Linked DNA regions of Callithrix jacchus. The protein of the gene in region 3 purifies or fractionates together with the protein of the main gene of each other region. This does not show direct contact. Links are inferred from orthologs where the notes say so. Each region holds a gene or a part of one and is shown on either strand. Other genes may lie near its edges. The genes, in order: TBL3, TSR1, IFI16, GNL2, RBM34, NVL and EXOSC6.

Region 1 (4,346 bases), on a different chromosome or scaffold from region 3:
TCTTCCCCGTCCCCTGTGTGTGGCCTGGGCTTCCCTTCCCAGAGGTCAGGGCCTGGCTCAGTGCGCTTCTGGAAGCTTGACTGCCAAGACGAAAGCAACCCCTCAGCCCCTGAACCCAGTCGACCCTCCCACGGCGGTGCTGCCAGCCAGGGGCTTTCCTTTACCAGTGCTCGGCACAACCAAAGCCCCACAGCCGCCGATGGAAATGATAATCCCATGCGACTGCGCTGCCACGGCGGGGGCACCCCTGAGGTCACCTGGGAGTGACAGGGCACAGGACTGAGGCCCTCCTGGGCTTCGGCAGACCTGCCCTCCCCTGCTGTCTCCCCGCTCCCTGGAGAAAAGGGTTCGAGGGTGGTGAGTCCCCAGGCCGAGTGCTTAGAGGTGGTTCTTCGTCTCCGCCGTTTGCCGGGACCAGCCCCGACCTACGCTCAGCCCTCCCCTGCCCTCACCCGGACTTCTGGTCCCCACTTCACCCCACAGCCGGCTTCTCGTTGAGCCCAGGCTGCTGCGCCCGGGCTTAGGTCCCCGTCCTCCCCGAGGGCAGTCGGAGCCTGCTCTCCCACCTAGTATCATCGCAGCCTCCGCGACCCCGCGGGCCGGCGCACACGTACCCCCTCCCCTCCCAGACCCCAATGGACGCCCACTCCACGCGCGTCTCCGCCACGCCTGCTGCGAACCCGGCTCCCTCCCCGCGTGGCCCCAGCGCTCCGAGCTCACTTGGCCTTGAAGCGGCCCACTCCGGCCGCGGTCTCTGCCATGTTGCGGCCGCCGCTCCCGCCGAAACCGGCTAGAACCCCGGCAGCCTCCACCGCGTGAGGAGGGAGGTTGGCACGGAGCTCCGCACTCCCGGCGCGCTGAGATGGCGTCACCACGCGCGACGCCTGTGACGTCACCGGCGCCGCGCGCTTGTCGCCATTTCTGCTGCAGGTTATGGCGGCTGTATCCGGAAGTGGAAGCGGGCGGAGGTGTTTCCGGCCTGGAGGGTGGGCTGTGAGCCGTGACGGTGCTGCGCGGGCGGATGCGGGAAACTAGCGTGGGTGGCATCGCCGTAGCCTGGCCTGTTTTTTTTTTTTGTTTTTTTTTTAAAGACGGGTTTTACCATGTTGGCCGGGATGGCCTTGAACTCCCAACCTCAGGTGATCCTCCCGCCTTGTCCTCCCAAAGTGCTGGCGAGAGCTACCGCGCCTGGCCAGCCTGGCCTTTTGATAGCAGTATAAAAAGGCATTCGTTTACTCCTGCCCTTCGGCGTTCCGGAAATTGAGGCAGCAGGAGTCGGGTGAGGTCCAAGCCTAGAGCGGTGAACCTGACCCTGCCTCGGGGCTCGCAGTGTGGCTCATGATAAATGACACAGGAGAGGCCGGGCGCGGTGGCTCACGCCTGTAATCCCAGCACTTTGGGAGGCCGAGGCGGGTGGATCACGAGGTCAAGAGATCAAGACCATCCTGGTCAACGTGGTGAAACCCCGTCTCTACTAAAAATACAAAAAAAATTAGCTGGGCATGATGGCGCGTGCCTGTAATCCCAGCTACTCAGGAGGCTGAGGCAGGAGAATTGCCTGAACCCAGGAGGCGGAGGTTGTGGTGAGCCGAGATCACGCCGTTGCACTCCAGCCTGGGTCACAACAAGAGCGAAACTCCGTCTCAAAAAAAAAAAAAAAAAACACTTAAGTGAAGTAAAGCAGGCCAGCGTGGCGGCTCACACCTCTAATCCCAACACTTTGGGGAGCAGAGGCAGGAGGATTACTTCAGCCCAGGAGTTTGAGATCAGCCTGGATAACACGGTGAGACCTCATCTCTACACCAAACACAAAAATTATTCAGCAGTGGTGGTGTGCGCCTGTAGTCCCAGCTACTCAGGAGGCTGAGGTGGGAGGATTACTTGAGCCCAGGGAGGTTGAGGCTGCAGTGAGCCATGATCACGGCACCGCACTCCAGCCTGGGCGCTAGAGCAAGACCCGGACCCAAAAAAGAAAACAAGAAGAAAATACATTCTTGTATTCCCTTTATTTTATTTTTTGAGATGAAGTCTCACTCTTGTTGCCCAGGCTGGAGTGAAGTGGCTCAATCTTGGTTCACTGCAACCTCTGCCTCCTGGGTTCAAGAAGTTCTCCTGCCTCAGCCTCCTGAGTAACTGGGACTACAGGCTTGTGCCACCATGCCCAGCTCAGTTTTGTATTTTCAGTAGAGAAGTGGTTTCGCCATGTTGGTCAGGTTGGTTGCCTCTGCCTCCCAAACTGCTGGATTACAGGGTGAGCCACTGTGCCCGGCCCCCGACTTTAAAATCCCAGCCTGTAGTCCCAGCACTTTAGGAGGCTGAGGTGGGTGGAACATGAGGTCAAGAGATCGAGACCATCCTGGCCAACATGGTGAAACCCCGTCTCTACTAAAAATAGAAAAATTAGCTGGACATGGTGGCACGCGCCTGTTGTCCCAGCTACTCCGGTGGCTGAGGCAGAAGAATTGCTTGAACCCAGGAGGCGGAGGTTACAGTGAGCCGAGATCACGCCATTGCACTTCAGCGTGGCAACAGAGACTCCAAATCAAAACAAAACAAAACAAAACAAAACATTCCAGGCAAAAAAACAAACAAAAAAGAAAAACAACAAAAAAGATGAACGCAGGCAAATGGAGGCGAAGGGAAGAGCTCTCCAGGCAGGGGGAGTCGCCAGGCCAAGCCCCATGGTGTGACGGAACACAGAGCCCTTGGAGAAAGCCCGTGGAGTATCCCTGGGAGGAAGGGAGTCATGCCTGGAAAGGCCAACAGGGACGCACAGGTGACAGCTGTGCGGGGCTCTGCGTTTATTTATTTACAAGATACTCTGGCCCTGAGCACCCCGTACCTCAGCCCAGACGCTGCCTTCCGGGGCAGCCTAGGCCTCGGCCTCCTCCTGTGGTGTGCCCTCCAGGAAGTTGCCCAGCTCCGCCAGCTCTCGGCGGACAATGCGGGTGGCCCGGTGCAGCTGGCGCACGCGCCTCAGCAGGCACAGCAGCATGGTCTGACTGCGCTCCTGGCGGGCGCTCCAGGCGTCGTGCAGCTCCCGGTAGCAGTTGTGGTGAGCACGCTTGGTTGGGTCCAGGGTGGCCCCACAGCCCAGGGGGCAGCGCTGCTGGTTCCTTTGCTGGCAAAGCTTCTGGTGCTCGGCCAGGGTCCCACGAGGGACCCGCGAGGTGCAGCCTTCGTTGGGGCAGGCCATTGGCTCGAAGGGGCACGAATCCTGGTGCCCTTTGCGATGGGCCAGGGGGCATGTCACCATGCAGCCAGCGTCGGCGTTCTTGCACTGAGGGTGAAGGAGCACACGTGTGAAGCAACCCAGGTGGGACACTCACGGAATCCCCGTCCCTGGCTTTCCACTCACCAGGAACCAGGGACCCGGGAGCCTCCCATACTTTGCTAACTCCAGTGAGGTGGTGGAGAGAGAACACGGGCCAAATGCATGGACTTGGGAAGAAGGCAGACATGCCAGGGGAGGGGATGAGGCCTGACGCTTGGGGAACTGGAAGGTCCACAGCTGGGTTGGTCTGGTGAGTGGTATGGATGCCAGGCTTCCCCCTGACCCCTGACAGAGATGGAGTCCCATTTTGTTGCCCAGGCTGGAGTGCAGTGGCATGATCTCGGCTCACTGCAACCTCTCAGGTTCAAGCGATTCTTCTGCCTCAGACTTTGAAGTAGCTGGGATTACAGGCGTGTGCCACCATGCCTAATTTTTGTATTGTGTGAGGAGAAACAGGGTTTCACCATGTTGTCGAGACTAGTCTTGAACTCGTGATCCACCTGCCTTGGCCTCCCAAAATGCTGGGATTACAGGCATGAGCCACCCATGCCCATCTCAGGTTTTCCTTTTTAACCTCAGTTTACCCATCTGTAAAACTAGTGGGCTAGAGAGTAGTGGCCGGCACACCAGGCATTTCATCCTCTAAAAATCCTTTATAATCTGCATTTTACAGCTGAGATGCCAGGGGATTAGAAAGGGTAAGTGACTTGCTTAAAGTCACACAGAACTAAGCGGTAGAGCCACAGTTCAAACTCAGCCGTGTCTGACCACCCAAGATGGCACTCATTTCTCTCCGAAGATGGGACTTCTCCTTGCCCCCTGTACTGGCCCTGCCCCACCCCTACAAGGGTGAGGAGGGTAAAGGGTTGGGGGAGTGGGTTTTTTGAGCTACCTTGACTTCCAGGCGGCTGATGGTTTTCCGGAGTTTATTCTCGTAGACGATCTTTCTCTTTTTCACCTGTTTCCTGCAGCACGGACAGGTCTTTTGTCTGGAAGGAAGCATGAGTTGGGGGTGAGTGTTGGGAATGGGAAGGGAACCCTGGTCAGCCCTTCACTCCATGACCCGGGTGGT
Region 2 (3,665 bases), on a different chromosome or scaffold from region 3:
GAAAGACCTCAAGAGCCAAGCAGAGTTAAAATACCCTGGAAATGGCCGGATGTTTGACTCACATCTGTAATCTCAACACTTTGGGAAGCTGAGCCAGGTGGATCACCTGAGGTCAGGAGTTTGAGACCAGCCTGGTCAACATGGAGAAGCACTGTCTCTACTAAAAATACAAAATTAGCTGGGTGTGGTAGCGCATGCCTGTAATCCGGCTGAGGCAGGAGAATCGCTTGAACCCGGAAGGCGGAGGTTGCAGTGACCCATCGCACTCCAGCTTGAACAAGAGAAAAACACTGTCTCCGGAAAAAAAAAAAAAAAAAAACCCTGGAAATTAGAAAATGGTCATTTGAAAAATTTTGACAAGTTTTGGCATTCTGTTGCATTCATCTTCTACATGAGGACCGGTATTTCTGGGTCTTTCTGGTTATTCTGTTTGATTTGGGAGATTTTTGGTTAATGGTTGACTATCACCTGCTTTTTTGGTTTTCAGATTTGTGCTACGGATACTGTAGATGATATGGAAGAAGACCTTAAGGTCCTAATGAAGGCAGACCCTGATAGACAGGAATCCTTGCAAACAGAGGTTATCCCAGATCCAATGGAGGGGGAGCAAACCTGGCCCACTGAGGAGGAGATGAGTGAGGCAAAGGGTTGGTATTGGTAAACTTGTTTGTAATTCATCTGACCTGGAATTGTGGATTTCCTCTAGCTCTTCAGAGTGAGAACCATATGGGATAGAGTGGGATAGGGATATATTTGAAAGTCTCTCCTCATCCTCAAATGTTATATGTTTTCACTAAACAAACATTAGACACAGCTTTGTTCCATTTCTCAAAATAACTTGTGTTAATGTTTTATCATGAACAGATAAACAACTTTGGATTCATTGCAGGGCTTATTTAGCTGTGTAAGTATTGCTAGTTGTGAGGCAACGGAATTAAATTTAGAAGTAGTTAGTTCTGCTTATGGTGTCTGCTGGAATTTCCCATGTTGGCAGCAGCGTCTAGTGCCTTGCCTGGGTGAGAATAACCAGAGGGATAGGGAAAGGATAGCTATAATTTACTTAATTTGTTTGGGCTTTTACAGATTTCTTGAAGGAAAGTTCTAAGGTGGTAAAGAAGGTCCCCAAAGGAACATCCAGTTACCAAGCTGAATGGATTTTGGATAGTGGCAGCCAAAGTGATGGGGAAGGAGATGAATATGATGATATGGAACATGAGGATTTTATGGAAGAAGAATCTCAGGTAAGGAAATGAGGCCTTAGGCCATTTCTGTGTCTAGCTTCAAACATAAAGCAAAGTGCAATTGTAATCTTGAGGGGTGTGTATGTTTAGTTTCTTAGGAATGACTCTAGTTGCCAGGAATGAGGCTTTTGTTTTCTGCTTTAGGCCGTATTAGAATCTATGTTAGTTGGGAATAGGTATCCAATACAATTATTTTACTCTTAGCTTATTGGCCTTTAGGGTGTGGATTTCTTCTGAAATAAATAATCCTTTATTCTACAGGATGAGAGTAGTGAAGAAGAAGAGGAAGAATATGAAACTATGACTATAGGGGAGTCTGTGCATGATGATCTGTATGATAAGAAAGTAGATGAAGAAGCTGAGGCAAAAAAGTTGGAGAAATATAAACAAGAAAGACTGGAAGAGATGTTTCCGGATGAGGTGGACACCCCCCGTGATGTGGCTGCTAGAATTCGGTTAGTCAGTAAATCTAAATTAAGTCAATAGGTTTTAAAAACTTGGCTCAGAGCTATGTCACTGTGATACAAAAGAAGAAAAACACATTTTTCCTGCTCCTGAAGAGCTAACATTTAATATGGGAAGGCAAGACATACATACATACATACATACAGGAAATGGTAATATATAATCAAGTTCTAGACTGTGGTACAGACTACTATTACAGGACTTTAATGAAGGAGAAATACTAAGGTTAATTAGCAAATACTTCTTCCCAAAGGAGCCAATACTCAATTGAAGTATATAATGTTTGGAGATTTTAGGGGGTTTGGGTAGAATAGCAGAAGTAGAAGAGTGAAGATGTAGATGATTATATCTATTCTGGAGGTGAGTGACTAAAGCCAGTGAATTAATCTTGGATATTAAGGAGATAAGGCTGTGTATTAAGCCATTCTCGCACTGCTATGAAGAAGTACCAGAGACTGCGTAATTTATAAAGAAAAGAGATTTAATTGGCTCATGGTTTTGCAGGCTGTACAGGAAGCATAGTGCTGGCATCTGTTCAGCTTTTGGGGCAGCCTGAAAAAAACTTACAATCATGGCAGAAGGCAGAAGGGGAGCAAGTTATGTCACATGGCCAGAGTAGGAACAAGAGACTGAGGCAGGATGTGCTAACACTTCTAAACAACCAGATCTCATGAGAACGCACTCACCAACGGGGATGGTGCTAAGCCATTCATGAGAAAACCTCTCTCATAATCCAGTCACCTCCCACCAGGCTCCACCTCCAACATTGGAGATTGTATTTCAATATGAGATTTGGGCACGGACACACATCTGAACTATACCAGGTCATTACCAAACATCTTTTTTGTCAGGGAGCCACTATAAATCCTTTGTCTTTTGTCAGTGGGAAGCTTGGGTTTGGTTCTGATACAACTTGTTACAAGTTGTTTTGCAGTGTGGTCTTGGTTTAAGCTGATAGTTTATTTTGAGAGATAGTGATTGGAGTTCTTTTGAGCTAGATCCTTAGCCATTTTAGCAGTGACTTGAGTCTATATAGCACCATGTAAATCTGACTTAATTTTTATAAAATCTTCAATATTCTAGATTTCAGAAATACAGAGGCCTCAAGAGCTTCCGGACATCTCCATGGGATCCTAAGGAAAACCTTCCTCAAGAGTATGCTCGGATATTTCAGTTTCAGAACTTTACTAATAGCAGGAAAAGCATCTTTAAGGAGATTGAAGAAAAAGAGGTTGAAGGAGCTGAGGTATCTGCCCTTGTCCATCTTGTATGTTGCTTTCATTTGTCAACATGCTCCCACTTTACTCCTTCTCTTGGCATGGAAATATGCTGCGTTGGGAAATTAGGGGAGCCCCTGAGTCATCGACAAGAATGATACTGGAAACAGCCCAGGTGTAGTGGCTCACCTGTAATCCCAACACTTTGGGAGGCCGGGGTGGGCAGGCCACCTGAGGTCAGGAGTTCGAGAGCAGCCTGGCCAACATGGAGAAACCCCATCTCTGCTGAAAATACAAAATTAGCTGGGTGTGGTGGTGCATGACTGTAATCCCAGCCACTTGGGAGGCCGAGGCAGGAGAATTGCTTGAACCCAGGACGGGGAGTTTGCAGTGAACAGAGATCATGCCATTGCACTCCTGCCTGGGCGACAGTGAGACTCCATCTCAAAAAAAACAAAACAAAACAAAAAAAAAAACAAAACAAAACAGGCCGGGCGCGGTGGCTCACGCCTGTAATCCCAGCACTTTGGGAGGCTGAGGCCCATGGATCATGAGGTCAAGAGATCAAGACCATCCTGGTCAACATGGTGAAACCCCGTCTCTACTAAAAACACAAAAAAATTAGTTGGGCATGGTGGCGCGTGCCTGTAATCCCAGCTACTCGGGAGGCTGAGGCAGGAGAATTGCCTGAACCCAGGAGGCGGAGGTTGCGGTGAGCCGAGATCATGCCATTGCACTCCAG
Region 3 (4,200 bases):
ATCTATGCTCCACAAAGATACAGCACACCTTACTTACATCTTCGTGCCTAACGACTTTGCTAGTTCCTTCTTATTGCCTGGAAAGCCATTCCCACATTTCTTTGACTACTTCCCATACAAACTTAAGGCTCAATTGTGGCTTTGTGTCTCCGGGTAGATTTTAGAATCCTCTTATGGACAGAGTGTCACTCCTCTTGACCTTTTAACATCTGTGCACTTCCGTGATGACACTAAGTGCATGGTATGGATTCCAGTTTCTTTTTAAGTTAATGAATGTTTTAATTTTAGGAATGATGTCTTTGTGTACCTTTTGTATAACCAAGATATTTAAATTTCTGGGGCTATTAATTGGGGCAGGCATGGTAGCTCACACCTGTAATCCCAGCACTTTGGGAGGCTGAGGTGGGCGGATCACGAGGTCCGGAGATCCAGACCATCTGGCTGAACAGTGAAACCCCCATCTCTACTAAAAATACAAAAAATTAGCCAGGCGTGGTGGCACGTGCCTGCAGTCCCAGCTACTCAGGAGGCTGAGGCAGGAGAATTGCTTGAACCCAGAAGGCGGAGGTCGTGGTGAGCCGAGATTGTGCCATTGCACTCCAGTCTGGGTAACAACAGCGAAACTCCGTCTCAAAGCAAACAAACAAACGAAAAAAAACTATTATCTGATACTCAGGGCCTTAGTCTTTTTGCAAGACAAAGCCTCATACCACACAAAAAAATCTATTGAAAATAATATTTAATAAGAAAACAATAAATAAAATTTAAAATGCTGTCAGCCAAAAGATAGGAAAAGTAAAAAATAAACTTTAGGTGTTCCTAATATCTTAAAAAGAAAGCCCTGATCAAAGAGAAGAGAAACAGAAATTCTAACAGCATGGTAAAGGGAGGGTAGAAAAAGAACAGGGCAAGTCACTAAAGTAATTGTCTTAGATAGTGAGATAATATAGAAGTGTCATAAATAGAAGATAGCAGATTGTTAATTACCAGCATACACCTAAAAGGTCTGATCTGTTAAGTGACAACTTTCGTCAAATTTGACTTAAGAAATATAAATACATGTTAACAAAAGATGAAAAAAATTGCTAAAAATTATCTTGCAAAGAATCACTAAAGAAAGCAAGTTTATGCTTGTGTAAATTTAAATATACCTTAAGCCCAAAGGTAACTTCAGATACCTTATAATGATAAAAGGTTCAACTAGGAAATTATAAGTTTTAGTTATAAATTTATCTAATTTTGCTACAAAGCATTATTGTGAGAAAAAAAGAAAAAATAATAAAATAAATGCATCTAATTTATCTAATGATATTATTATTTTATAGTGCTTCGTGGTACTATAATTATTAGTATATATTTCTCTTTATATACACGCACATGCACCGACATAACTACACACACATATATGAAATCTGTAATGATATGTTTGAACATAGTAAACATTTATCTAATAATACATAAAATTCTGAAATCAGCATTTTAAAATGTCACATTCCACTATACACATATATTTCTATGTGCGTACACGTTTGTATAAATGATTATATATACATATAATATACGTGTGTGAATATATATTATACATACACCTAATATATATGATTGTGAGAGGACTACAAGGAAAAACATAGAAGATCAACATACTTATGAAAATATGAAGACACCACATACCTGAATAACTGAAACTGGAAAAAGTTTTCCACTGTATGTGTACATTTGCTCTCATGTTTTTTTAAATTGGGATGATATCACATAATACAGCTCTATGCTCAGATGTGTTTTTTACTTAATATTCTTTCGTGATACTTTTTTCATGTCACTATCTTGAGAACCCACCACAGCTACTGAGTTTCCAACACTTCCTCTGGTAAAAATAACCAAAACCTTCTTCTAAATATCATTGAATGCCAATACATACTCAGAAAATTAGTTTTAAAATCTGCAATGGTGGCCGGGCACAGTGGCTCAAGCCTGTAATCCCATCACTTTGGGAGGCCGAGGTGGGTGGATCACGAGGTCAAGAGATTGAGACCATCCTGGTCAACATGGTGAAACCCCGTCTCAACTAAAAATACACAAAATTAGCTGGGCATGGTGGCACGTGCCTGTAATCCCAGCTACTCAGGAGGCTGAGGCAGGAGAATTGCCTGAACCCAGGAGGCGGAGGTTGTGGTGAGCCGAGATCGCGCCATTGCACTCCAGCCTGGGTAACAAGAGCGAAACTCCGTGTCCAAAAAAAAAAAAAAAAAAAATCTGCAATGGTTGGCCAGGCGCCGTGGCTCACTCCTGTAATCCTAGCATTTTGGAGGGCGGAGGTGGGTGAATCACCTGAGGTCAGGAGTTCAAGACCAGCCTGGCCATCATGGTGAAACCCCCATCTTAAAAAAAAAAAAAAAAATCTACAGTGGTCAAAATGCATTTTCTCTTGTTCAGTCCTCAGTTGTGGTGGCATAAAAGAAGCCTGTTATCTTCCTAAGTAAGTGAAGGATTTATATCAAGCAACTCAGTTTTCACTTTTCTGAAAACCCAACCCTATTCCCATCCTCCATGACCCTGAATAACCGATACTGATTGTCCCCTTGCGACTCTGGGGACTTCAAAGAAGTAACAAGACCTTATTTACAAAACTAGCAACAGTACTCACCTCACTGGAAATTTTTCAACAGTGGTCCAGATCTTGAGATTTTCAGAAATGCGGGAATCAATGCTTATTTTGTTCAAGCGAGGAGATAAATCAGTAAAGGTCCCAGAAACAGAACTGCAGGATGTTGTAATTTCCTGAAATGCTAAGAAAATGAAGTATTTGCAAAGATAACAAGAAAAAAGGGCCTTGGTTAAGTCGCTGAGTAATCTGACTAGTGCCGGCTCTCTGCTGCTCTGCTATTGCCCCAGAGAAAATGGAGTTAGGAAACAACATGGAAACTCCTCCCACTACTGTTTTTAGGTTTCGTTTCTGTTAGTCAGAGAAAAGGAACAGTTTCCTTTTGAAGAGGGCTGAAGTGTGTGGTTAGAGCAAATGGGGGATGAGAAATTACTTTCATGGGTACAATGAACATTTTTCCCGTGCTGTGTACGCTAAAAGCTCTGACAGAATTGCATTTGTATCTCATAAATGTATATAAATACAAATAAATCAGTATATATATATATATATATATGTATTTTTTTTAAGAAAATTTAACAGCTGAAAAGAGTTTCAACATTAGAACTTTCTTACCCAGCAGACTTACATGTGGGTCCTTAGGGACCTATATTCCCTTAAATGATGCTCAGATATAAGCGAAGCAGGTGGCTTCTCCCTCCTTTCCTGTGCAGAGTGGCAGTGGTAGGAGGAGATCTTGGTAGAAGTGACTATCACTACCAGTGCTTTACTGCATCTCCTGGATGGGGAAATGTCTGGTATAAAATTGCTATTTGTTTAAATATTACCTGAAGTATTCATCTAATTGTTAATAGTTGACACACCTGGGGCTTTCCAGATCAGGAAGTCGTTATGAATATGTAAATTGTTGCTCAAATTTATATAAAGGAGTTTAACACTAGCTGTCCTTTTGCCTATGACTAGGTTACTTTACCTCAATGATTAGATTTATGATTACTCATGTTTTCTGCATTATTCATGGGTAAACACAAGAGGATAGTAGGGCTCAGACCTTGACAGCAATGAAGCCTTGAAAATCCTGGAAAATGCACTGAACTTCTGGTAGCAAAGGGAGCCTGTTTAATCCTTTGCTCAGCAATGTGTTTTTCTCTGTAAAGGGCAGCGGGTGCTCTTTAGAGTGCTGTAACCCCAGGATGTCAAATAAACGGCATCATCTCCGGGCACGGTGGCTCAAGCTTATAATCCCAGCACTTTGGGAGGCCGAGGTGGGTGGATCACAAGGTCAAGAGATCAAGACCATCCTGGTCAACATGGTGAAACCCCGTCTCTACTAAAAATACAAAAAAATTTAGCTGGGTGTGGTGATGCGTGCCTGTAATCCCAGCTACTCTGGAGGCTGAGGCAGGAGAATTGCCTGAACCCAGGAGGCGGAGGTTGTGGTGAGCTGAGATCGCGCCATTGCACTCCATCCTGGGTAACAAGAGCGAAACTCCGTCTCAAAAAAAAAAAAAAATGGCATCATCTAGCAGATGATGTTGTGTTAACCCAGCAGCAGATCTGCAAGCAGGATGTGGCCATGATGGAAAGGAGACCCCATA
Region 4 (4,111 bases), on a different chromosome or scaffold from region 3:
ACCGTTTAGATATTTAAACATCCTAGCCTTTTCCACTCAGCATACATTTTGTACAGGAAAGTAACAGGGGATAATACTCACCAAACCATTTAATGTTTGGCTCTACTCTTGCCACTGTGCCAGAAGCCACCGTTGATTGATACTGCAGGGGTTTAATTATTTTACCACGATTGTTCCTATGTTGAAGAAATAACAGATTTTGATTGACAACACAAGAGCGGCAACGGCAAAGTTTGATCCGCAGAATATACTTCCGGCAAAAGGACTTCTTACTTTGGTTTTAAATGATCATGAAATACAGATTCCAGTGAACACAAAGTACTTCTACATTTGAAACAGATTGCCCAAAAGCCATTTAACCTCTTGCAACAGAGCACATAATGACTTCTGCTAGATGAATAACAATAATGGTGACGTTTTAAAACATCTGTTTACAGTTGGTTTACTTTTTAAAAAAAAAGGCACAAACTTGAGTCTTTTGGGTAATTATTTGAAGGCTGGTTTAAATAAATTTTTTAAATAGAGGGTGATTTACGCTGGAATTCCAAATTCTAAAACAAACTGCAAAGTAGGTGACTAATGCATATTAAGTCCATTGACATTTGTATTTTAGTCCCATCTTTTAGAACAGACAGAGATGGAGAATCTAATTACCAAACAAAGTAAGACCAGCTAGCAGAACGCCACACTCAGCAAATCCCTGTGGTAGAGGCTACGTCAGCAGAACTCAGAGTTATGATGAGTGTTCATGTGCCGCAATGTTGTGATCTTCATTTTGGCATTAAAAACAAGTTTTCTGGCAGCTTTCCTAACGATAGTCCTATAGGCTTTGTTTTATCTGGCCATGTTTAACTCAGATTCAATGCACCATTTGCGGAGGCCAGGGCTGTGAGAAACAAGACCTCTACTTTGAGTATTGTGAAACAACCACTGTTTCAACACCAGCTATCATGCCCTTAAGCAAAAATTAACAATTTAACATATCAACATTCATATAAAATTACATTTGAAAATACATAATTCCTATTTGGAGGAAGTTGGAGTAAGAACAGCAAAGGCTTAATCAATCTCTGCTAGCGGTCAAGGGCATGAAGGAAAAGGGAAAGGATGATAGCACCCAATGCTCACCTGCGCTCCTTTTGCCTATACATATTCAGGCGCCGGATGGTGGCCCGGTCCCTCATGTTTTGGCCTCCTGCTCCCTGCACTCGATCTACAAAAGGCGGAAGTACACAGTGCACTATCTGATAACCAACCAGTATAACCAACAAGTCATTGCTTAAAACGCAACAAGTAGTTCACTCAAAGCAGGTTAGCAGCCAGCCACCAAACATAAAAATCTCTATTTTCTTGATATGTTGCTCCAATAATTATAACTTGAAGCTACATGGTATGACAAAGCTGATCCAATCTTTGATCTTTGATAGGATTGTACCTGAGAAGAAAAAAAGCTAATATTTTTTAGCACTTATGATGACTGTAAGATCCACATTATAGGCATCATCTCATTTAATCCATACAATAATTTCATAGAGATACATTATCCCCATGCTGCAGAGTGAGAAACTGAGGCACAGTGGTCAGACACCTTGCCCAAGGTCAGTTACTAAATGGCAGAGCCAGAATTTGAACACAAGCATTTGATCACTATTTATGGTCTTAACCACGAAGACACCTACCTCTGTGTCTCAGTTTAACAAATATTGAGTGCCTGCTCCATGCAAGCACCATGGAGACTATGATTTTGATATGTATGTGTTCTTAGTCAGTTTCTTAATTTCTTAATGTTTGATTTTTGTTTCATCAACGTAGCAATTCTTGCCTTACATATCAAAGAGAAGGACAAAAGAGCAGGGTAATACTAGCCTAGCTTCTCATTTTGGGAGCCCTTTAAATCACCTGCCTGGTCCTGAAGTGATGCAGACGGCAGGCTGAAACCTGCTTTCTACATCACTTCAGGACCAGGCAGGTAATTTAATAGTAGAGACTGGTGGCTCTAGGACTACTAACTGTTGCAATTATGACAAGCCACTTCCTGTAAAATCATGACTCTAGGGGTCTTTTGGGGTCTAACATCCTGAGATCCAGTTTGTGCAAAGTGAATAATTTATGATCAATCCAGGGTAAACATTCAACACGTATTAAAACTGTCAAAAATTCTAAACCATATTTTAAAAGAAAGTTTTATTAACTAAACCTGAATGGAAGGAACTCTCCCACAGGGCGTCTTGTTCATTCTACAGGTGGAACCTCGCCAAAACGTACACACATCTCCAAAACAGCCTTACTGCAATGATCATATTGATTTCTTTGCAGGGTTTTCTAAGAACTTTGCCAGATAGAATGATTCCAAGGGCCAAGACTACAATCCCTTTCTCATTTTAAAGGTCAAAGCTAAGGTGGCAGGCAAGTATGATTACGTGTAAAAGACCCGATGGGTCAACCTACACCATTTTAAATCTGACTTTCTCTGCATCTCTGAACTGGAGAGGACCCAAGGCTGCCAAAGCCTGAATGTTCACTTTCCTTGACTTCAGACCAGTTGACTACACTTTGGCTTGCCAGGCGTGCAGTGTCAGCCCTCCTCAGTGCCCCCCGGGAAGAAACCACCACAAATACTGCTTTCCTTTTCATACCCAACAGCCACTCCGCTTGTGGTAGTTTTAAGCAAGTGCCCCTCCTGCCCCTCCAGTCCTCCTCGGAGCACTCCCCTACACTTCCCTCCAAGCTCCACCCTCGATCACCCCTGCCGCCTGTACCCGGGTTTGTGCTGGCCTTAGACGGGTTGATGGTGCTCCGTCCTTTGTATTTGGGCTTCACCATCTTGGCGACGAGAACGGGACCCGAGACCTAGGTCCGGCTTACGTCGGTCAAACGAACTAAGAAGTTCCCAGGCCCGGCCAAAGTGACCCGCGTGAACCACGCCGGACCACGTGTGCATGACCACCGTCACTTCCGCTCGCGCCCCTCTCTGACTCTGCGCGGCTTCCGGTAAACGCGCGGCGCGCACCACCTTATTCCTGGCTCCGCCCCCGCTCTGCGCCCTGCGCCGAGCCCCAAACCTTTCCAGCCCTAGCAACCGCCAAGCTGCCCCTCCATAGCAACCGCCTAGTTACCCTGGATGCGAGGCACAGAGCTCCCAGTTGGGTCCACCTCCAAATAAAGAAGCCTCTTCCCAGGCCAATGGCACAAGCTTAAATTTGTCTTCTGAATTTGTCTAAGTCCTTCCAAAAGTTGCCGACCGCACGGCAGCCAAATACCCGTTAGAACATGTCATCCTCTTCCTTACAACTCCAATGGCTTATCATGACTGTTAGAATGAGGGGTAGGGGAAGGGAGAAGGGAGAAACAGAGACAGAGATTGATTCAAACTTTGCCGTCTCCGCAGGATTCTGTGATCTCGCCCTTGCCTATTTGACCTCATGTGTACCTCCCTCCCTCTGGTTATTTTGACATTTGCACTGGATATTCTCTCTCTCTCTCTCTCTCTCTCTCTCTCTCTCTCTCTTTTTTTTTTTGAGGCGCAGCCTAACTCTGTTGTCCAGGCTGGATTGCAGTCGCATGATCTCGGCTCACTACAACCTCCACCTCTCAGGTTCAAGCCATTTTCATGCCCCAGCCTCCTGAGTAGCTGGGATTACAGGTGCCCACCACCATGCCCGGCTAATTTTTGTATTTTTAGTAGAGACAGGGTTTCACCATGTTGACCAGTCTGGTCTCGAACTCCTAACCTCAGGTGATCTTCCTGCCTCGGCCTCCCAGTGTGCTGGGATTACAGGCATGAGCCACCGCACTGGCCTACAAATGGATATACTCTCTGTCTGAATCACTCTTTCCCAGAATCTTTGCATAGCTGGTCATTCAATTCTCAGCTCAAATATTACCTATTAGTAGGCTTGCAAGAGTTAGCAAATAGAAATACAGGACACCAAATTAAATTTCAATTTCAGAGAAAAAAATGAATACTTTTTAAAAATTATGCTTCCAATAGTGCCTGGAAAATACTTCTAGTAAAAAAGAGTTCATCATTTGCCTGAAATTCAAATGTAACCATATGTCCTGCATTTTATCTGGTGAATCTTGGTACTGGGAGAACTCTTCCCTAATTTGT
Region 5 (4,051 bases), on a different chromosome or scaffold from region 3:
TGAGAGCTCTAACCCGTTAGAATTGACTGGTTATTCATTCCTATAATCCTGGCACGATGGGAGGATCACTTGAGTCCAGCAATTTGAGACCAGCCTGGGCAACAAAGTGAGATACTGAAGCAACATCATTTGGGGTAATACCCAAGGTTTGTTTCCTCATGCCAAGGAAATCAAGGACACAGGCACATGTGGAGTAAGGTTAAGAGCAGAGGTTTAATAGGCACAAGAAAGAAAAGGGAGGCCCAGATGTGGTGGCTCATGCTTGCAATCCCAACACCTTGAGGGACCAAGGTAGGTGGATCACCTGACGTCAGGAGTTCCGGACCAGCCTGGCCAATGTGGTAAAACCCCGTCTCTACTAAAAATACAAAAAATTAGCTGAACGTGGTAGCAGGTGCCTGTAATCCCAGCTACTCAGCAGGCTGAGGCAGGAGAAGCGCTTGAACTTGGGAGGCAGAGGTTGCCGTGACCTGAGATCATACCACTGCACTCCAGCCTGGGCAACAAGAGCACAACTCTGTCTCAAAAAAAAAAAAAAAAAAAAAAAAAAAAGATAAACCTTCAAAGGTAAAGGTAGTATTACAATGTGAATAAACTGAGAATGTGGAAGTCTCCACATTTTGTATATACCATCCGTAAAAAATTATACAACTCAACACGTGATTAGAAGATAATAGCACTTTTATTAGCAACTCAGCAGGAAAAGAAAAAGCAGCTGCTGGTTATTTCTGTCTCCTCTGTTTCTTAGTGCATCTACTTTTCTTCTGTCCTTTCTTCTTCTTTTTAACGAGAACAGCTTTCTCTCCAATAAATAAGCTTTTAGAATGTCCTTCTGCATTTTTAGAAGTAAAATTAAGTCCCTGCTTAGGTTTACTGACATTCTTCAATTGTGGATTTGAATTTTGTTTTAATTTTTCTTTATTAACAGAACGCATGACTCTGAGTTTTCTTCCCATTAGTTCAGAATTATTTAATTTCAGAGCAAGATGAACAGAATCTGTATTCTGTGAATAAAAAGAAAACGAAATACATTAATTTCTACCAGAAACCCCTCTGCAAAGAAACCAGTGAAGTGTGACTTTAACTGATAAGAATGACTTTCAAGTTTGCACAGATAATCCCCATCCAATCCCAGGTGTATAAGCTACCATGCTCCAAGTCTCCCACCGTGCTCCCCCCCAGTTTCCCCACGAAGCACTCACACTGCCTTGTGAAATGTTCAGCTAAGTCACAATGTTATACACTTCATTTTTTCATTCTAAAATAAGGTTCTAAGTCACATACAATATTTTAAACCAATAAACCTCCTTCTCACAGCTATCTTTCTGTCAAAGCCCCACTGCATTAGGTGGCCAGAGGGCAGGGAACTCTTCTTTACAGTACCTGAGATGTTGGACTCGATACGCTCTAGGGTTCCATTTAGATTCAAAATTCTGTTATACTTCTATTCTTTTTTTTTTTTTCCTAGAATATTCCAAGTAATGTATTTCTATTCTAATATAGAGCCATTAATGCTTACAACCCTGAATATCCATGAGATGTTTGTTAAAGGGCTTTAGAAGCTTATCAAGTAATAGAAGACAGGGAGCAGAGAAGCAGTAAGGTAACTACAAGATAGTAACAATGGCAACAAAAGCTGTGACAATCTTTCTAAAAAAGCTACCAGGCAATTCTCACCATTTCTCAACTTTTCAAAATGGTAACACATTTTAATCTAGTAATATCCTACTGGGGATCGATCTTAAAGAAGTAATCTATAATTCAAGCAAACTCTGGGGAGAAAAACATACGCAGGCCAAGCAGGGTGGCTCACACCTATAATCCTAGCACTTTGGGAGGCCAAGGTGGATAGATTGCTTGCGCTCACTCAGAGTTTAAGACCAGCCTGAGAAACATGGCGAAATCCTGTCTCTACAAAAAAATACAAAAATTAGCCAGGCATGGTGGCACACACCTGTAGTCCTAGCTACTCGGGAAACTGCGATGGGAAGATTGCTAGAGTCTGGGAGGCAGAGGCTGCAGTGAGCCACAGCACTCTGGCCTTGGCAACAGAGTGAGACTGTTTCAAAAACAAAAAAACATGTAACCACTGCAATTTCATGATTACAGGGAAAAACAGAGAATTCTACCATGGTCCAACACGAGAGAAATGACAGTATAGATTCTGTTACATCACTCAATGGAACATGCTTACCCAAAAGAAAATAACATAAAATAGGACGTAAACACAATTTTATATTTACAGAGAGAAGTTCAACTATAAAAATGGCAGCACAAGGAAAAACTGAAAGGAAATGTACTAATGGGTTGTTACTGAGGGAAGAAAAATTTATGACATCCCAAAGTATGTACAGTAAGGTCCCCAAATCCATGAGTTCAGTATCAGACGATTCAACCAATCACAAATGGAAAATACTTGAAAACAAATAATACAACAATTTAAAAATATTTTATATATATATAAAACAATATATTTGTGTGAATATGCCATTTTATATAAGGGACTTGAGCATCTGCAGATATATACATTGTTTGCTACGTGACAGGGATCCTAGAAGCAATACGCCGTGGAAACCAAGGGATGACAACAGGTTCTTTCTTGTTTTGAGATAGGGTCTCACTCTGTCACTTCGGCTGGAGTGCAGTGGTGCAATCTTAAGCAATCGTCCAGCCTCAGCCTCCTGAGTAGATAGGACCACAGGTGCTGGCCACCGTGACCAATTATTTATTTATTGACACGGTCTCACTCTGCCATCCAGGTTGGATGGCTCACTGCAGCCTCGACTTCCCAAGGCTCAGGTGATCCTCCTGCCTCAGCCCTGCAAGGAACTGGTACTACAGGCATGCATCACCATGCCCGGCTGATTTCTGTTTTTTTTTTTTTTTTTTTTTGTAGAGGTGGGCTTTCACCACATTGCCCAGGCTAGTCTTGAACTCCTGGACTCAAGTGATCTAACTGCCTTGGCCTCCCAAAGTGCTGGGATTACAGGCGTGAGCCACTGACCCAGCCTTACTTATGTATTTTTTTTGTAGAGATGGTGTCTACCTATGTTGCTCACGCTGGTCTTAAAGTCCCCGCCTTAATCAATCCTCTTGTTTCAGCCCTCCCAAAGTGCTGGGATTACAGTCACAAGTCAACATGCACGACCTGTATATTCTTTTACTATTTAATATTGTCAGGCATGAAACACTGGTTAAAAATTAATGAACTACGGAGTCGCGGTGGCTCAGGCCAGTTGTCCTGGTGCGCAAAGAGGTGAGGTCAGGCGTTCAAGGCCAGCATGGGCAACATATAAACCTCTCATCCATTAAAAAAAATTAATGAACTAAATATTACTAATTTTGTACAAAGAATAAAACTTTCTTATACCTGAATGTCAATTATTTACTCTATTGTAGAGAAGGTGGATGAGATTTAATGATTTAGTCCTTCTAATATCCAATATCTGAAACATTTAACTAGTATAAAGAAAGAACTGGCCGGGCGTGGTGGCTCAAGCCTGTAATCCCAGCACTTTGGGAGGCCGAGGCAGGTGGATCACGAGGTCAAGATCGAGACTATCCTGGTCAACATGGTGAAACCCCGTCTCTACTAAAAATACAAAAAATTAGCTGGGCATGGTGGCACGTGCCTGTAATCCCAGCTACTCGGGAGGCTGAGGCAGGAGAATTGCCTGAACCCAGGAGGCGGAGGTTGCGGTGAGCCGAGATCGCGCCATTGCACTCCAGCCTGGGTAACAAGAGCGAAACTCCGTCTCAAAAAAAAAAAGAAAGAACTAGGACATCTTTTGGGTAGGTGCAGTTATAGCAATATATTATGGCAGGTTATAAATTCAGTTTTCTTGTTTTCATTTTGTTTTGAGACAAAGTCTTGCTCTGTGGCCCAGGCTGGAGTGCAGTGGTGCGATCTCAGCTCACGGCAACCTCCACTCCTAGGTTCAAGTGATTCTCCTGACTCAGCCTCCTGAGTAGCTGGGATTATAAGCACCTGCCACCACACACGAATAACTTTTGTATTTTTAGTAGAGATGAGATTTTACCATGTGGGCCA
Region 6 (4,095 bases), on a different chromosome or scaffold from region 3:
CTCACAACTATAATCCCAGCAACTTTGAGAGGCAAAGGCAGTAGGATTGCTTGAGTCCAGGTGTTTGAGACCAGCCTGGGAAAGATGGTAAGATATCATTTCCACAAAAAATGTAAAAATTAGACAGACATGGTGGTATACACCTGTGGTACCAGCTACATGGGAGGCTGAGGTGGGAAAATCTGTTGACCCCAGGAGTTTGAGGTGGTAGCGAGCAGTGTCACAACACTGCACTCCAGCCTGGATGACAGAGGAAAACCTGGACTCAAAAATAAAAAATTAAATTAAATGTATAGCTAAGTGAAAACCTATTTAAAATATTGTATAAGATTATCTTTAGGCTACGTGTATAAGGTGAATATGAAACATAAATAAATTTCATGTTTAACTTGGGTCCCGTCCCCAGATATTTCATTACGTATATGTAAACATTCCAAAATCTGAAACATTTTTTGGTCTTAAGCACTTAGAATAAGGGATATTAAATCTGTACTTTTATAATGAACCAAAGTGAAAGCTATAGAGGAACACTGACAATGTCAAATGCTGAAAAGCAGTCAAGTGTAAGGACAGAGAAGGGGCCACCAGACCCAGTAATTAGGAGTCACTGCTCCGAAAACTGAATAAACTGAAGGAGGAAGTTGTGGGACGCAGGAACATCAGAGGAAGAGTAATTCAGAGTGAATGAACGAGAACGAAGGTCCTGTGCTTGGCATGTTTGAGAAGGTCTGTGTGGTTAGGACAGGAGAGGAAAAGTAAACTAGGACAACAGAGGCCAGAATATGCAGGGCTTTTTAGACCGGTGTTACTCTGGATGTCTGTGACTCCACTGAAAGGTTTTGAGCAGAGCTACGGCAAGCTCCAATTTTTCCCTTTTTTATTTTTATTATACTTTAAGTTATGGAATACATGTGTAGAACATGTAACATAGGTATACATGTGCCATGATGGTTTGCTGCACCCATCAACCCGTCATCTACTTTGGGTATTTCTCCTAATGCTACCTCTCCCCTAGCCTGATTTTTCCCTTTAAAAGGATGTCTTGGCTATGCATGGTGGCTCACACTTGTAATCCCAGCATTTTGGGAGGCCAAGGGGAATTGATCACCTGAGGTCAGGAGTTCGAGACCAGCCTAGCCAACATGGTGAAACTCTGTCTTTACTAAAAATACAAAAATTAGCCAGGTGTGATGACATGCATTTGTAATCCCACCTACTTGGGAGGCTGAGGCAAGACAATCACTTGAACCCAGGAGCCAGAGGTTGCAGTGAGAAATGAAAAAAGGTGTTTCTGGCCGCTTTGTGGGTAATAGGCTTTAGGTAAAAGCAGAATCAGAGAGATCAGTTAGGAGGCTATTGCAATAGTCTAAGGTGGAGATGATAGTTTGGACTAAGGGTTAGAGGCAAAGACAGTAAGAAGTATTTGGAATATAATTTGAAAGTAAAGCCAATCAGGCTGTTGATGGATGGTATACAGGAAATGAAAGAAAGACTCAGAATGATCCTTAAGGTTTTTGGCCTTACCAACTGGATGAATGGTAGTATCATTTAACAAGATACAGAACACTAAGAAAATCACAAGTTCCACTTGGCCATTTTAATTTGGAGATACGCACGCTGCCTAGGCAGCTGGATATGTTAATCTGTAATTCAAGATAAAATCTGGATTGGAGATATAAATTTAGGGGTCATAAATATATGGAGGCCAGTGCAGTGGCTTGCACCTGTAATCCCAGCACTTTGGAAGGCTCAGGCCTGATTACTTGAACCCAGGAGTTCAAGATCAGCCCGAGTAATGTACTGGAAACCCATCTCTACAAATAATAATAATATATTAGCCAGGTATGGTGGTGCACACCTGTAGTCCCAGCTGCTGTGGAGGCTGAGGAGGGAGGATCACTTCAGTCTGGGAAATCGAGGGTGCAGTGAGCTATGATTGTGCCCATAAACAACCACTGCACTCTAGCCTAGGCAACAGAACGAGATTGTGTCTCGGAAAAATAAAAATAAAATGAAATAAATATATCAATAATATGTAGATACTATTCAAAGGTTATTAGACTGAATGAGATCACATAGGAAGTATGGATAGACAAGGGCGGTGTATGAGGAAAGAGGAGGAAGAGGAGATAAAAGAACAGTAGCTCAGAGCACTTCCAACATTTACAAGTTGGTAGAAAAAGATGGGTCCGAAAAGAAGATTGTTTGGGGGCAGGTGAATAAAAAAAAAAAAAGTAGAATGTGTAGCTCACAAATTACAAAGTGAACAAAAATCTCTCCTATCTTTTAACTTAGACTTCTTGGTTACATTCTAAGGTATTTGCCACACACTGCTTTTTACTGATGTCATTAAAATGAGAAAACCATAGGCAAGGTGCCTGTTACAGTTGCCAGACCCATGTTACCACGTTTTAGTGTTTAAGTTCCTTGAGAACGGAAATTTTTCGTATTACTTATGCCACCCCTTCTCAAGGACCTCTTACAATGAGAGCGTTGGAAGACCATTCCTGTACTAACTTCACAAGCCAAAGAGGTTAAAATTCAAAGGCTAACTCCACTCTCCTGAATGATCAGCGCTGAAGACGACGAGACAACCTGGGCAGCCCCACCAAGCTGCACCCTCCCACCGTCCCTGGCTGCTCCTTGTGACTCCGCACCCACGTGGGTAAGGAAGGCCCCGGCACCACCAACTCAAGAACAGACGCACGCCCAGACCCAGACTGGGGCAAGGAAACTAGTTGAGTTCCACGCGGACGCCGCCAGATAAAAGGGCAGTGGTACCCTGGGGCAGCAATCGGGGCCCATGGCGAGGCCGAGCGGTGCAGAATACACACCTGGATGACTCGCTGCTTGAGTTTATTATCCACGAACCCTGCACGTCTGGGCTTCATCGCGTCGCTCTCCCGAGCCACTGCTCCGATCGCCTGCTCCCAGTGAACCGGGGGCCTCGTAGGGGTTGCCCGGCGCGAATGCCGGGTCAGTAGGACCTGAAATGCGCCCCTCCTGGGTCCTAGCCCGCGCCGTTTCCATCAGAAAAAAAAGTAATGCGAATGAGAGGGAAAAATTCCGAGGAGCGGGAAAAGACTTGAACACATCAGGGAGTTTCTAGGGGCCTTATTTTTCAGGCATGCCCAGTGGGCCTTGGACGTTTAGGCCCCCTTTGAACGCGCTCAACCTTATTGGTTCCCCGCCGGGCGAACCAGGCTGGAGAAGGTTCCTACCCCGGCGCGGCGGGCGGGGAAGCTGTCAGCTACGTCCGCTGGTAAACTTGGTTTGCTTTCCTCAGGCTTTCCAGCCACACTTCATTCCAATACAAAGCTAGTCTTGGCAAAACCCGCGACAGTAGATAGTTGGAGTAATACAATTAGGATACAAACACACCACCAGCCTCTGCTTGCTTTCCCACATAGTTACATTTTTGGGGCCCCACGAAAGAGCTAGGTGAGTAAGGAAAGGAAGGACGGATTTATCCAGATAACTAAGTCATCTGTTACTTTTAGAATTCGTTTGACCTACGCTGTTACGAGCAGCTAATTTGTTGAATATATCCAGTGCAAGACTCCTTGGCCCAGAATTTTATTAAACGTTTCTGTTTGTTCCAGGTGAGTTTATCCTGCAGTTAGGGAGACACAAAGGGATAGTTACCAAGCATTTTTTTTTTTAAGTTGCAAGCTCTAGTTTCTGTTTTCTTCATTTCCATCGTGTTTTGAGTATTCTTATTTCAGGTCCTATTTTGCTTATGACAAGGTTAAGCGCAGTGTATTCAGGGGCAGACGGAGGAGAGAAAATGGAATTAAGGGTGTGAAGCTGGGTAAGGTGGCTCATACTTGTAATCCCAGCACTTTGGGAGGCCGAGGTGGGCGGATCTCTTGAGGTCAGGAGTTCGTGACCATCCTGGCAAACATGGTGAAACGTCGTCTCTACTAAAAATACAAAAATAAGCACTGAATTAAGTATTAGATTTCCCACTCAAACTATTGGTCCCTTTGGCTGCAACTTCATTTCCTACTTCTTCGCTATACTCTTTAATTTTTATTTTATTTATTTTTTTTGAGACAGAGTCTAACACCATCACCCAGGCTGGAGTGCAGTGGT
Region 7 (4,334 bases), on a different chromosome or scaffold from region 3:
GTGCTGTGGGCCCCTCCTTTCCTAGCCCATGCCTCCTGCCCCTCCACTAACGTCCTGCTTCTACTTTCCCTACAGGTGGAGGACCACGCATAGGACCAGGACAGCCAAGAGGAAGCAGGATCTCCTCCAGGCTCATCAGCTCCGGGCGTTCTGGGGTAGGTCCTTGCCTTGCCTAGGTTGTGAAGGCCTCCTGGTAGCACCCATGCAACCTGAGATACCCGTTCTGGAGCTGGGTCAATAGAAGAGAACACAGGGCTTGGCCAGAAAAGCGGAAGGTTCACTGTTGCAGCAGGTTTAGCTTCTTAGGAGGTTACATTTCACGATGACAGCCATGGGACTGACAGCGTTAGGAGGGAGGTAGCCTGGGACTGTACCAGGTCGCCATCCTCATGAAGCTGAGGCTGTCTTCCAAGGGACAGCTGACAGCCCACCCCCACCCCACCCCAGCACTCAGGGGCAATCCTCAGTCCTGAGTGCAGACACGGCCACAGCTGCTCTTCACTCCCCTCTGGATGCACCAACAGCCAACAGATTTCCCTGGGATCCCAGTCTCCCTCCCTGCCCGAAACAGCCGGAAGGTCCTCGGCGTACACCCCACACCACCCTCTTGGGGCTCCAGACTCGTCATCCACTCTCCAAAGCCATCCTTCAGAATAACATGAGCTGTCTCCACTGGTGTGATACCATTTCAGACCTGCTCTGGAAAGGTAAGTCAAAAGGGAAAAAATAAAATTCATAAATCTTTTTCCTGGTCAAGGCTTCTTGGTGTGGCTCCAGAAACTCATTCTGGTCCTTGGGCTGCCCGGCACCGGCCCTTCCCCGAGAAGCCGAGTGCAGAGACCGGACCAGGCTGCCCTGCCTTCTCAATGGCAGTCACCTGGCTGCGTCCAGAGCAGCCTTGAGACCAGACCAGCAGATCTGGGAGCCACACAGGAAAGACCCCACCCTCGTGGTGAGTCAGGCCGGTTCTGCCCTATGGAGCAGCCAAGCCGTACCTGGCTTTCCTGGCAGTTCACCTGCCCTCTCTGGGCGTTGCTCAGGGTTTTCCTCCTAGGACCAAGGCACCACGTGAAGACGGCCCAGGACACCACTTCCCACCGGCTGTGGAGGCCTCTGGTTGTGCCGTTCTCCACATGGCCAAGGACAGATCTGGCTTCCACCCAGAGCAAAACCCATTCCAGCTACCCAGCCGAGTTGGGTCTTGCCCAGTACCAAACCAGGGTGGGGGGCTGGGGTGCACTCAGCGCGCCGCTGGGGCCATACAACTCTTCCTACTTTTGTCATATCTCAGCAGCTGTCCTGTCTCTGGTTCGTGTGGGGGCAGCTTCTCCTTCTATAAAGCACAGGGCCCACATCCAGTCCTGCAGCTGTTCTTTGCAGCCTATCTGTCCCGTTCAAGTTGGTCTAAGGAACGGGACCGGTTAAAGGCACCGCGGTCACGGCCCCTTGCCACCTGGGATGTAAGAACAAAGAAGCCGTGCTCTCTAAAATCCTGGACCAAGAAGAATCACAACAGAAGACGCTTTTCAGATATAGAAGTGTTTTTCTTTTGGCTCAGACACGGTGAGAAGGCACAGCCTCTTGTCCAACCTCTCAAAAGTCGCCCAGTTACGTCAGAGGGAGTCTCTGGCTGGCGGTGCAAAGGATCTATCCCTTAAATGACTACAGTTCCCAGATACCAGCTTCCAGGTAAGTTCCAAGTTTCCAGCCTGGAAGTCAGGCTGCGCTCACAGGTGTTCTCAACTGGGTCGCAGCTGAGAGCCGGCTAAAGGAGGAAAGTTCCTTTAATGAGGTTTGTAAAAAGCCCTTCCACCACCACAGCTGTCTGGCGCCTCGGCTCTGTTTCAGCCTCTCCAGGTGCTCTCCGGGGCTCCTGCTGCATATCTCGATGCAGGCTCGAGGCCCACGGCACGGGTCTCGGCGTGGCGTCCGTCGTTGTTCAGGGCGGGGCGGCGCCCCTGCGACGGGCAGCCCGCACCAGGCACTGCTGCAACACTGGATAGAGGCGCTGGCAGCCCTCGAGGCCAAGGCGTACGGCCTCCGCCCAGCTCTCGGTCAGGCCACCCTCCCCGCTACCCAGCAGCCCAGCCACCTGATTCAGGACGGGCATGAGTGCCACAGTGAGACCGGCGGCGGCGCGCTCCTCCTCGAGCCGCGTGGGGTCCAGTAGCCAGGTGGACGCGGGCCCCGGAGCGAGGCTCAGGCCGCAGCCCACCACCAGGTCGTACATCTCCACGCCCGCATCGGCCAGGGCGAGCGCAGCGGCGGTGAGCGCGGCGGCCAGGGCTGAGCCCCCGTCCTCCAGCAGCAGCGCAGACACCTCGAGCTGTGCACGCGGGTATCGGCCCAGGCGCACCGCTGGCTCCAGCGCCTCCTGCAGCGCCAGCGCCAGCTCACGCTCCTCACCGCCGCCCTGGGGAGCGCGGCGCCGGCGCCCCGCGAAGGGGGCGCGGCGGAAATCGCAGAGCAGTCGACCACGCAGCGCGGCCGGGGCCTCGCCACCCGCTCCGGCCGGGCCGCCCCCGCGCTCGCCGCCCTCGGCCTGGCGCGGGCCCGACACCGCGCACAACACCTTGGTGCCTCCTGCCTCCAGGTAGGCTGAGCCCTTGGCTTGGCTCAGCAACCCCGCGCGAGCGTACACGGGTCGCAGCCGCGTCGGGTCGCGAGCGGCGGGCGCATCCTCTTCGTCGGCCGCGTACAGCTGCGGCGGCTGTGATTCCTCCGGGCCGCGTATACGGCGGTGGTCCCCAGGCATCACGGCGCCTGGCGTGCGACCTGCTTCCGGCCGCTGCTCCACCACGCACACCAGCTCTTCCGCTGCTTAAAGATGCGCGCCTGCGCGAAGGATGTCGGGGAGCAGCCGGCTTCGCTATAGCGCCCTCTGAAGGCCTGGAGGGAGAACGGCCGGCGTCCTCAAAGCCTTGGTGCCGCTAGTGCAGGGCATGTGGCGTTCATACATACAACGGGGGCGGGGGGCGGCAGTTAGAAGAAAGAGGCTTCTCTGCTTCCACCCCTCATTTTCTGTTGAATTATGAACACCTCCCTCTATGTCACCTATTTGGCTTCCATCGCCACAAACGGTTGAGGCAACCACAGGGGCTACTCCCAAAATTCAGAGTTCTGGGGCTAGACAGTGAATACAGCAGCAGCCAGCAGGAGTCACAGCATTTATTCTAGACAGCAGGGGCCACAGGCTGTGGAAACGGCGCGCCCCCATTGGGAATGGGTAGAGATCCTGCGGCGTCAATTATTGCACATGGTCCTTTATTCTCTGCAGCGAAAATGATTCCCATTTGCTAACCCAGACAGCTCAGGTCTGGAGAGCTGTCCGCTCCAGATGCCTATCGATGCACAACAGCAATGCTGGGGTACTCAGGGCAGACATATAAGGAATACTGGGTCACAGGACCTCTTCCAGTTACCGTGGGGTTAGGAAGATGGTGGGAGCTCTTTAAAGGTCCCAAGATTCTAATGTTCTTAGAGCAGAGGAGGAACTCCTGGCTGGACCTATGGATCCAGTGCCAAACTCCTCCTTCCCCACCTCAGTTCTTCACATCCCCGAGGTGCAGCTGGGCAAAGGAAGTGGCCAGCTGCAGCGCCTCCTGCAGGCAGCCAACGTTCTTGCCTGTGGCCTGCGCAGACACATCCTTGCCACCACCCTTACCATCCATCAGGCCTGATACCTGCTGCACCCACTCGCTGGCTTTTAGGCCCCTATTGGCTGCATTCTGGAAGAAAAGAAGGGAAGGGGGAGTTAGGACACAAGATAAATGAGGAATGGAGGAAAAGAAATGCAGGAGCCATCCCCCACTCCTGCCCAGGGTGGTGATGCTGGCAGCCGAGACACGCTTAACAGCTGGTAAAGGGGGAAGTCATAGCCACAGCCAGGAAAGGACAGAGTGGCAAAGCCAAGTATCAACCAGACATCTTCACCAATGAGAAGGCCGGGGTAAAGGGCAACAGGTGTCTAGTTTCAAATGCCGATTGTGAACACACAGGCCTCAGGAATAAGCTTAAGACCTACACTGCCCCCCTGGTGTGAAAGGTCGTAGGCAGTTCTGACCTGGGGGACTTGACACAGGCACGTGATTTTGCCAGCCTCATTATCCACAGTGAAGAGCATGGCAGACGTCTGAGGGGAGTGCATCTTGAAGAGCTTCAAAGCTTCATTCAGGGCCTGCGGGGGGTGGGAAGAGCTGGCTCAGGCCACGGTGCTGGAGCAGGTACCCTGCTCTCCACTCAGGTGAGAGCCTGCAGTCCACAGCAAGACCGCCACACACCCCCAACCCCACCCAAGCGTGCCCCACACATGCAAGGAGCTGCTCCTCTTCCCA

The links.
Region 1: the proteins of IFI16 (region 3) and TBL3 purify together in Homo sapiens (affinity purification with mass spectrometry; 3 studies listed by BioGRID and IntAct, with this or other methods). This does not show direct contact. The link is inferred for Callithrix jacchus from reciprocal best matches to the Homo sapiens genes IFI16 and TBL3.
Region 2: the proteins of IFI16 (region 3) and TSR1 purify together in Homo sapiens (affinity purification with mass spectrometry; 3 studies listed by BioGRID and IntAct, with this or other methods). This does not show direct contact. The link is inferred for Callithrix jacchus from reciprocal best matches to the Homo sapiens genes IFI16 and TSR1.
Region 4: the proteins of IFI16 (region 3) and GNL2 purify together in Homo sapiens (affinity purification with mass spectrometry; 3 studies listed by BioGRID and IntAct, with this or other methods). This does not show direct contact. The link is inferred for Callithrix jacchus from reciprocal best matches to the Homo sapiens genes IFI16 and GNL2.
Region 5: the proteins of IFI16 (region 3) and RBM34 purify together in Homo sapiens (affinity purification with mass spectrometry; 3 studies listed by BioGRID and IntAct, with this or other methods). This does not show direct contact. The link is inferred for Callithrix jacchus from reciprocal best matches to the Homo sapiens genes IFI16 and RBM34.
Region 6: the proteins of IFI16 (region 3) and NVL purify together in Homo sapiens (affinity purification with mass spectrometry; 3 studies listed by BioGRID and IntAct, with this or other methods). This does not show direct contact. The link is inferred for Callithrix jacchus from reciprocal best matches to the Homo sapiens genes IFI16 and NVL.
Region 7: the proteins of IFI16 (region 3) and EXOSC6 purify together in Homo sapiens (affinity purification with mass spectrometry; 3 studies listed by BioGRID and IntAct, with this or other methods). This does not show direct contact. The link is inferred for Callithrix jacchus from reciprocal best matches to the Homo sapiens genes IFI16 and EXOSC6.

Annotation. Positions count from the first base shown.
Region 1 is NC_133513.1:4,777,164-4,781,509, forward strand, and holds the start of TBL3 (transducin beta-like protein 3), read right to left. Parts: upstream 2,873-4,346; 5' UTR 1,048-2,872; coding exon 721-1,047; intron 1-720. Other genes in the region: RNF151 (RING finger protein 151), read right to left, coding at 2,873-3,280, 4,167-4,263. UniProt on the Homo sapiens protein: Part of the small subunit (SSU) processome, first precursor of the small eukaryotic ribosomal subunit.
Region 2 is NC_133506.1:65,920,977-65,924,641, forward strand, and holds part of TSR1 (pre-rRNA-processing protein TSR1 homolog), read left to right. Parts: intron 1-487; coding exon 488-647; intron 648-1,083; coding exon 1,084-1,241; intron 1,242-1,502; coding exon 1,503-1,696; intron 1,697-2,789; coding exon 2,790-2,952; intron 2,953-3,665. UniProt on the Homo sapiens protein: Required during maturation of the 40S ribosomal subunit in the nucleolus.
Region 3 is NC_133519.1:19,004,386-19,008,585, reverse strand, and holds the start of IFI16 (gamma-interferon-inducible protein 16), read right to left. Parts: upstream 2,880-4,200; 5' UTR 2,645-2,879; intron 1-2,644.
Region 4 is NC_133508.1:74,142,621-74,146,731, forward strand, and holds the start of GNL2 (nucleolar GTP-binding protein 2), read right to left. Parts: upstream 2,938-4,111; 5' UTR 2,824-2,937; coding exon 2,760-2,823; intron 1,214-2,759; coding exon 1,129-1,213; intron 177-1,128; coding exon 82-176; intron 1-81. UniProt on the Homo sapiens protein: GTPase that associates with pre-60S ribosomal subunits in the nucleolus and is required for their nuclear export and maturation.
Region 5 is NC_133520.1:50,097,404-50,101,454, reverse strand, and holds the end of RBM34 (RNA-binding protein 34), read right to left. Parts: intron 1,005-4,051; coding exon 723-1,004; 3' UTR 664-722; downstream 1-663.
Region 6 is NC_133520.1:4,649,883-4,653,977, reverse strand, and holds the start of NVL (nuclear valosin-containing protein-like), read right to left. Parts: upstream 2,914-4,095; 5' UTR 2,892-2,913; coding exon 2,835-2,891; intron 1-2,834. UniProt on the Homo sapiens protein: Participates in the assembly of the telomerase holoenzyme and effecting of telomerase activity via its interaction with TERT. Involved in both early and late stages of the pre-rRNA processing pathways.
Region 7 is NC_133521.1:31,651,374-31,655,707, reverse strand, and holds EXOSC6 (exosome complex component MTR3), read right to left. Parts: upstream 2,801-4,334; 5' UTR 2,756-2,800; coding exon 1,940-2,755; 3' UTR 277-1,939; downstream 1-276. Other genes in the region: AARS1 (alanine--tRNA ligase, cytoplasmic), read right to left, coding at 3,543-3,728, 4,064-4,177. UniProt on the Homo sapiens protein: Non-catalytic component of the RNA exosome complex which has 3'->5' exoribonuclease activity and participates in a multitude of cellular RNA processing and degradation events.